Linked DNA regions of Macaca mulatta. The protein of the gene in region 1 interacts with the protein of each later gene in a biochemical or structural test. Links are inferred from orthologs where the notes say so. Each region holds a gene or a part of one and is shown on either strand. Other genes may lie near its edges. The genes, in order: CRY2 and FBXL3.

Region 1 (4,597 bases):
GGCCCAGGAGCAGTTATTATATTCAATCTGTTTGTGTTACTTCACCTCTTTCTTCTGAACGCCAAGACTAATTAGACTTCCTGTCAATGCACTGCAACACACTTCCTAGGTTGCCCAGCTCAGGACTGAGGTTCTCTAGTCCAGTGCTTCTCAAGCTTTGCTGCAATAAGAGTTTTAAAAACCTTAATGCCCAAGGCCGGGCACAGTGGCTCACGCTTGCAATCACAGCACTTTGGGAGGTTCAGGCAGGCGATTGCTTAGGACCAGGAATTCAAGACCAGCCTGGAGAACATGGTGAAACCTCATTTCTACAAAAAATACAAAAATTAGCCAGGCATGGTGGTGCAAGCCTGCAGTCCCAGCTACTTGGGAGGCAGAGGCAGGAGGATCGCTGGAGCCCAGGAGGTCAAGGTTGCAGTGAGCTATGATCATGCCACTGCATTTCAGCTTGGGTTGTCACCTGAGCAGGACCCTGTCTCAAAAAACCCCACAAAAAACCAAAAACCAAAAACCAAAAACCAAAACCAAAACCAAACAAAAAACCCCAAAACCTTAATGCCCAGGCCATAACCAAGAACAATTCTAACAGAACTGGGGGAAAGGGGTTGGGCACAGTGGTTCATGCCCTGTAATCCCAGCAGCTTGGGAGACCAAGGTGGGTAGATCACCTGAGGTCAGGAGTTTGAGACTAGCCTAGCCAACATGGTGAAACCCTGTCTCTACTAAAAATACAAAAAAATTAGCCAGGTGTGGCAGTGGCCACCTGTAATCCTGGCTACTTGGGAGGCTAAGGCAAGAGAATTGCTTGAACCTGGGAGGCGGAGGTTGCAGTGAGCCCAGACTGTGCCATTGTACTCTATCCTGGGCAACAAGAACAAAACTCCATCTCAAAAAAAAAAAAAAAAAGAATTGGGGGAAAGGGGCCCAGGCATCTTTTAAAGATCCTTATGGGATTCCAATACATAGCAGCCAAGATTGAGAACCACTGCTCTAGTCTGTCCCCTTATCTTATGTTTCTCATGGCACTTCGTTTCACTAAATTATGGTTGTTTGCTGGTCTTCTTTCAATAAAATGTAGGCTCCAGGAGTTCTGGAGCACAGACACATCTGTTTATTCACTGCTGTATCCCTAGCAACATCTAGAGCACTACCTGGCAGATATTAGGCATTCATTAAGTAATCAATTAATATCTGCATTCCTACACAGCCTCTGACTTCAGGATTTGACTCAGGCATCTAAGCCACATTCCTTTTCTCCTTCACTAGATTGACAGCACAATCACAAAACGATAACCCACAAAAATCCATAAACACCTGGTTCCTAGCAAACTGGAGTTTAATCAACGGGAATTTTATTGTTGATTTTTAATCTCCCCTATCAAAAAAGAGTAGGTAGTACTAGGCAGTGTCCCCCAAAACCCAATAAAAGAAGAAACTCTGTGACAATGTAACAAGAAGGTAGTCGGATTCCATTTGGCTGGCTCTGACTGGTGCAGGGCAGTCTGAGGCTTGGCTTAATGTCCACACTAGGGATGGTCATTTGATGATGCTTGTCAAACACAACCTCCTATCTGTAGAAAACTGGAGCAGAGACAGAGCAATAAGGCAGCCTGAAAACTGTGGGCAGGCTCTCCACAGGACTCTTTAATTGTTCCTTCTATATAAACTGGGCAAGAGGGGACACTGAACAGACCTACTGCTAGGAGCACTCACTCTCTTAGCAGGGTACACACCTTGGAGAGAAAAGAATGGTGTGCCGAGAGCCACGGTATCCTGGAAATAACCCTGTCCATCAGTGCAACAAGGCCACAAGCAAACATTCCCCAGAACAATGTAAACAAACCCAGCGACTGCCACTAGGTGTTCTGAAGAGCGATGGGTACATGATGTCTCAAAACTCTTTAATTTGAATACTGCTTACAAAGAAAATACATTAACGACCTGTTCATCTTTTTCCATGATCATGTCGACTCCATCTCCTGGGGGGTCATCAGAGGGGCCCTTGATATCATGGCTTTCCTGCTCCCTAACCTTAGCACAACAGTTCATAGAAGTCTCATCTCTAATGGCTCAACTGTCCTCTAAAATCATGACAAGAGGATGACGGGGTGACACTTTGGATCCTTTTAAATTTTTTTTTATCGAGGTCAAAGCTCCAGAGCAGGGCTTAAACCATTTTGGAGAATCCCCTGGATTCTCTGGAGCTTTGAACACAACGCGATTCCACCTGAAGACACCTTTGGCTTCTTTATTTATAACATAGGGGAGAAGACTTTATTTAATGCTAAGCCAGGGTCACCTGACACCCCTAGAGGCAGGACGGTCTGGGCGCAGGGAAGCCAGGATGGGTGGTAGGGCGGATTCAAACAAGCCAGAGGCTTAGGAATGATCTCCCCGAGCCCAGCAATGGGCTCTTTACTTGAAGAATGCGAGCAAAAACCCGTCCCGCCCTCACACCACAGTATCTCCCTTCTGCCCCTCCCTGAGTAGACCATAAGAGCCCTAGACCAGGAGCCCCTGTTCCGCCACTCACTGGCTGCAAGTCCTTGGACAGGTCGACTTTGGGTCTCCAGGACCCAAGGGTCTCATCTGTACAACGGGGATCATGATCTCCGTTCCACAGGCAGTTGTGAGGCTCAGAGGGGTAACAGTGCGAACGCGCTTTGTCAGAGGCTGAGCCCTGGCCCACCGGCGCGTTAGGACCATGACGAATTACTTCCCCGGTCTCGGCTTCTCCACGGCCTCCCAGCCGTGGAGAGGTTGAGAGAATCGTGCTGTTCGCCGGTCACCCCAGGGTCAGGGTCCTGGCTGCGTCCCCGCCACCCCGCCCCGGGTCCCCTCACCTCCATCGGTTGATCCCGACTGAGGAGGAGGCCGCGAACCACGGGTCGAGAATGTAAACGCAGCGCACGCAGCGCGCCCCGCGCACGGCCGCCAGCAGCGCCGGGTTGTCGTGGAGCCGCAGCCCTTTGCGGAACCAGTGCACTGAAGAGGCGCCGTCCGTGCCGGGCGCTGGCGCCGGGGCCACAGCTGCCGCCGTCGCCACAGTCGCCGCCATGACTGTCCAGACTGCTCCGGCCACCCCCGCTCCGCCCCGGTAGGCGACGCGGACCCCGCCCACAGACCGCCCAGTGACCTATGACGCCGCAGCTCCTCCCTTCGTCCCCGCCCCCAGGGCCTTAGAGCTCCTGTGCCATTGGCTGAGTGCCTCCCGCCCGGCGATTGGCCCAGAGACGCCAGAACAGGCCCCGCCCCCTCACGTTCCTACCATGTGTGGGTCCGCCTGGGTGGAGCTGGCAGGCGGACAAGTGACGCAGGCTGGCACAGTCCGCGGAGGGCCGGGAGTGGGCCGAGTCTCGAGGTACAGCGGATCTCTTACACATGTCCTGTTCAGGGCCTGCTTCTAGAAGAAGCTGCCTGGGCTGGTAGGGGTTGCTGTGACTACAGTCAGAGACTTGCAAAACTGACAACTGACCTTCCTATTATCACCAACATCGTCACCAGCATCATCTACATCATTCTACTACAACTGCCATTTATTAAGTGCACTTTATATGGCAAGAGACATGATCATCTCCTTACATAGTCGGTCTCATTTACTATTCTGAACTCAGCCCAGTTACATTCATTTAACGAACACCAGTGGAAGAGCTGCTGTTATTTTTGTTTTACAGATGAAGAAAATGGAGGGTGCCGCAGGTTGAGCGACTTGCTCAGTATCATAAAGCTACTAAGAGGGATTTCACCCAGATTATTCTGATTTTGAAACTTCTGCTTTTATCCACGAAGCTATACTTCTCTTTGTGCGAAGATCCTTGGTAATTCCAAGTGGCAGAGTCCAAGGATGGAGAAGGAGTGCCCTGATACGCAGCATTAGAGGATTTGGGAGTAGGGACTGGGAATGTGGAGGACTTGAGCTCGTAATTATGCCATCAGATGAATTTATTTTCTTTTAGTCTGTTTAGTAGATCCAGTGGTACTATTGTGTGCAAAGCACTGTACTGGATTCCGGGTGGGGTTCAGAGATGTGGGGGACACTGTCCCCATTCTTCTGGGACGCCAGGTGGAACCCTCTTATTCCTCTGGCGTCTAGCATAGAGCTTGCTGATTGACTGACTAAATGGCAAGAGAAGCTATAAACACCAGCAACAAGGTGTTGGGGAAGGCTAAGATGGCTTAGTCAAGCTGCAGCTTTGGGGTTATCAGGTGGAGAACAGTCTGTTTCAACTTGGCCCTAGGTTGAGCCCATGCTTGGAACCCTTCCTGGACCTGGGACAGTGTGATGAAAGCATTTAGCAATTTAGTCTGCAATTTAGTGGCATTAATTGGCACCACTCTCTAAACCAGTGTCACTGCAATCCTAGGCATTCTCTGCCATTTCCAGGGCTTTTCACAAGCTGTTCCCGCAGTCTAGATCACACTCCCTCTTCCTTCTTTGTTTCTAACTCCAGTTTGCTCTGTATCATTGTTCAGTGTAGATGTCACCTTCTTGCTGTCTGATCCCAACCTGAATAGTGCCCCGTCTCATTCTGTGCTTCTTTGTGGTCACTTGTCTTGGCACACAATACTGGAATTTCTTGCTTAAATGTCTTAATGC
Region 2 (3,814 bases), on another chromosome or scaffold:
CCGCCCGTCTTGGCCTCCCAAAGTGCTGGGATTACAGGCTTGAGCCACCGCGCCTGGCCCTAATTATCTTAATATTTTAAGATCCTAAGTACAGAAGTTAGATCAGCATGGTACTCCGACTTAATGTGTAAAAATCTTCTGAATAGCCTCCTAAATTTTGGATTTGTATCCCTTTTTCAAATTCGGGGTGATTCTAAGTCTCCTCTTCCTGTGAGCAGTCCAGGTGATTCTGATTAAGATGGTTAAGGAAACTCACTCTAAGAAATACGGGTTACATGGTATAGCGCCACCTTCAAGCTTCAAATGGGAAATGAAACAATCTGAATTGATTTTTAGTGTACCTACCATAGCTAAAATACAAATGTACCTACTGACTCATATGGTATATTTAAAAATACCATATTAAAAGATATGTTGAACATAAGCTTTCTTTTTTTTTTCTTACCATTATGCTTATATCTAGTACTAATTTGGGAACCATGAATGGAGCTAATGGAAAGAATGCTTCTTATTAAGTGAGTCTAGGATACTTAATACTGTTTTTCTTTTTCTTTTTTTTTTTTTTTCCGTTTATGGCTTTGGTAGAAGATTGAAATAGGGCATTGCAATATTTTGGAAATCTTGAGAGAACTGAAGACAACATAGAAGAAATGTTTTTGACTAGAGCTAAATTGGGGAAATGGAAAAAGACGTCAGTGATGCAGTCATTAGACTGCAAATGAAATATGTTTGTACAAGATATAATTGAGTTTGATATGAAAATATTAGGAGAAAGATGTTAACATTTAAGTAAATAGTTACTTAATCAAAATCTAAGTAGTTAACCAGTTGTTTAATCACAGTAGGGAAAAAGTAAATTAGGGAATTATGACCAAGAAGACAGTGTTTTGGTTGGGTGTGGTGGCTCACAGCTATAATCTGAGCACTTTGGGAAGCCGAGGCAGGAGGTTCCGTTGTGGCCAAGAGTTTGAGATCAGCCTGGGCAGCATAGCAAGACCCGTCTCTACCAAAAAAAAAAGTTAGCTGTGCGTGGTGGCTCACACCTGTAGTCCTAGCTACCAGGGAGGATGAAACAGGATTGCTTAAGTTCAGGATTTCAAGGTTGTAATGAGCTAAGGAGGTGCCACTGCATTCCAGCCTGCGTGACAAGAACAATACTCTGTCTCAAAAAAAAAAAAAAAAAAAAGTAATGTTTCATTATACTTTCTTGGCTCTTAGCCTGCCCTCATCCTTTTTCACTCCTGTAGAGAATTTGTAAAGCTAACTGGAGCATGAAGTTGGTTTTATAGAGAGGAATATGTTGGACCATGTATTAGCCTGCCTTTACTCTCCTAGATTCTTTGCCTAATGGTTTCAACTCATATCTTAGCTCCGACTGAGAGCTGCATACTTTGAGAATGCTTTAATTCCTGTTTGCCTACATTGATTCCTTTAGGTCATATTCTGTCCAACAGATACATACGTGTGTATGTGTTTATACACACATATGTACGTACATATATACATATATATGATACATGATGAATGATTTCATTGGTGCTTTTGTGGATCAAAATACATTAAAATAGAAGACTTGAAAATATTGTAGATAACATTTTGAAGGAATTTTAAACTTGGAATTTTAAGTATGATTTTGATTGTTTTAGAATCAAAATTTCTATGAGTTTTCATATCTCAAATGAGTCTCAGATTTTAAATAGATTATTAATTTTTAATGATGGTGTTAATAGTTACTGTTTAGTGGGCATACCTATCAAACAGAAAAGAAATGCAGTTTAGTGTTATAAAACACTAGGGTTTCCAGATACGGCAAAGTGAAGTATCTGAGAGATTCTCATCCCTGGTTCCAGAATTCCTCTTTTTACTTACCAGTGGTTTCTCCAATTTAGAGACACTTATTCTGAGGCTTGAAATGTTTTTTTCCCCTACACATAAATAGGCTCTTCTCAAAGATAACAGATAGTCACCTCTTTTGCCATACTCCCAATAACAGAGTGAAGGGGTGCCACCCCTAAAACATTTACAAAATATTAATGTCATTGTGACTCAGATAAACTGTAGTACTAGGAAACCCCTCAATTCTCATTCCTAAAAATTGAAATAATTTTTTTTTTTTTTGCTTTTCAGTCTCACTTTATCTCTGCACTGACAGTTGTGTTTGTAAACTCCAAATCCCTGTCTTCGCTTAAGATAGATGATACTCCAGTAGATGATCCATCTCTCAAAGTACTAGTGGCCAACAACAGTGATACACTCAAGCTGTTGAAAATGAGCAGCTGTCCTCATGTCTCTCCAGCAGGTATGTTGTGTTTTTTGCTAGACACATTTTCGTAAAATGCATTGGTATGTTCATCAAATTAGAAAAAACTATGATCATTAACCTTAAAGGTGGATTGATACGACTGCTTCATCTCTTTAAAATATTTTTAATATAGTAATAGAATAGCATAAGTAATAGAATAGCATAAGTTACTAGCCTAGACACTGGCTTTCAGCTTATTTTCCAATCTTATTTGGTAAATTTATGAATAGCACATGCTAGAAAATGGACAGGAGAAAAAGAGGAAAGGACAGTATGAGGTCAGCCTGAGGTGTCCCATTAAGTACAGTAGAATTTTTTCTCATTGTAGTTGAGCTAATAGGGTAAGTTTTGAGTCAGAGCAGTCACATAATTGCTTTTCTTCTCACTATGTAGAGGGAGAAGAGTTGTACTAAGTGGTGGCCTTACATTTTGCAAGATGGTGTTTTTCTCTAAGTTGAATTTTGGAGCCAAGAACCCATCAAATGGGAGAAGAGCATTATAAAAGCTCTTTCCAGTTTCTCTTATATAGGATTTTCTGAGCATTACTGAATTATTCAGTTTGAGATTATTTAAATTCCAGGTGGTTTGTATTGAAAAGAGAGTGTAAATCCTACTACTATATTATATATACTGCTATCTGCTGCTTCATTCCTGACTCCTCCCACTATTGACATGTTTGCTGATCCTTTAGCTGTGTTATTTCGGAAACCTGTTCTTTAAGGGATAGTGTCAAATCTTTGATCTTTACAAAACACTTCCAACCTTCTTGCCATCGGTAAAGGTCAGCCTTCTCCCAAGAAATGATTCCATTTTAGATGGAGATTGCTTGCTCATTCTCCCAAGTCTCCTTGCTCATTCTCTTTTCTCCCACAGGAGGCTCCTGGTGATGAGAATGGCTAGGTCTGTGGTTGTATTTTCTTAGCTGTCTCTGCCACTTACAGATTACCACTGAAGCTATTATAAACCAGAAGTTAGGAATAGGCTTTGGCAGTTCTTATATGACTTGTATTACATTTTTTTTATTTACTGTATAGCTCTGCTCTCAGAATAAAGTCTGTGCTTCCTGGCTTCATAGTGTACAAGGTCCTTTGTATCTTGATCTCCATCTGTCTCTTGCTGGTCACTCACGTGGAGCTTTTACTTGGGTCCTGTGGAACTACAGATTTTTGTTTGTACCTTTGTTTGTGGTTGCTCAGTACACTTTACCCTGTGGAATACTTGCTCAAATGTTTTAACTTCACCTTGCTAACTGCAGCCAGCCCAGGCTTCAGAGTTCAGCTTAGATGTGATCTGTGTTGACCCGCCTGTCAACATAGGAGAAGAAGGGAACTTCTCCTTTCTGGTTGAGATTTCCCACCTGTGTATTTCCAGAACACTCTGAACGTTTTTGCTAACATTTACCACATTGTATGAGTCTTTATGTCTCTGATTTCTCTATAAAACTGAGAGTTCATAGTTCTCTTTATTCTGGTATATCCTGTGTTCATTCATTTTTATTAAATATACACAACA

The links.
Region 2: the proteins of CRY2 (region 1) and FBXL3 form a complex in vitro, tested with the Homo sapiens proteins (2 studies listed by BioGRID, with this or other methods). The link is inferred for Macaca mulatta from reciprocal best matches to the Homo sapiens genes CRY2 and FBXL3.

Annotation. Positions count from the first base shown.
Region 1 is NC_133419.1:19,770,306-19,774,902, forward strand, and holds the start of CRY2 (cryptochrome-2), read right to left. Parts: upstream 3,072-4,597; 5' UTR 3,059-3,071; coding exon 2,844-3,058; intron 1-2,843. UniProt on the Homo sapiens protein: Transcriptional repressor which forms a core component of the circadian clock.
Region 2 is NC_133422.1:71,808,194-71,812,007, reverse strand, and holds part of FBXL3 (F-box/LRR-repeat protein 3), read left to right. Parts: intron 1-2,127; coding exon 2,128-2,299; intron 2,300-3,814. UniProt on the Homo sapiens protein: Substrate-recognition component of the SCF(FBXL3) E3 ubiquitin ligase complex involved in circadian rhythm function. Plays a key role in the maintenance of both the speed and the robustness of the circadian clock oscillation.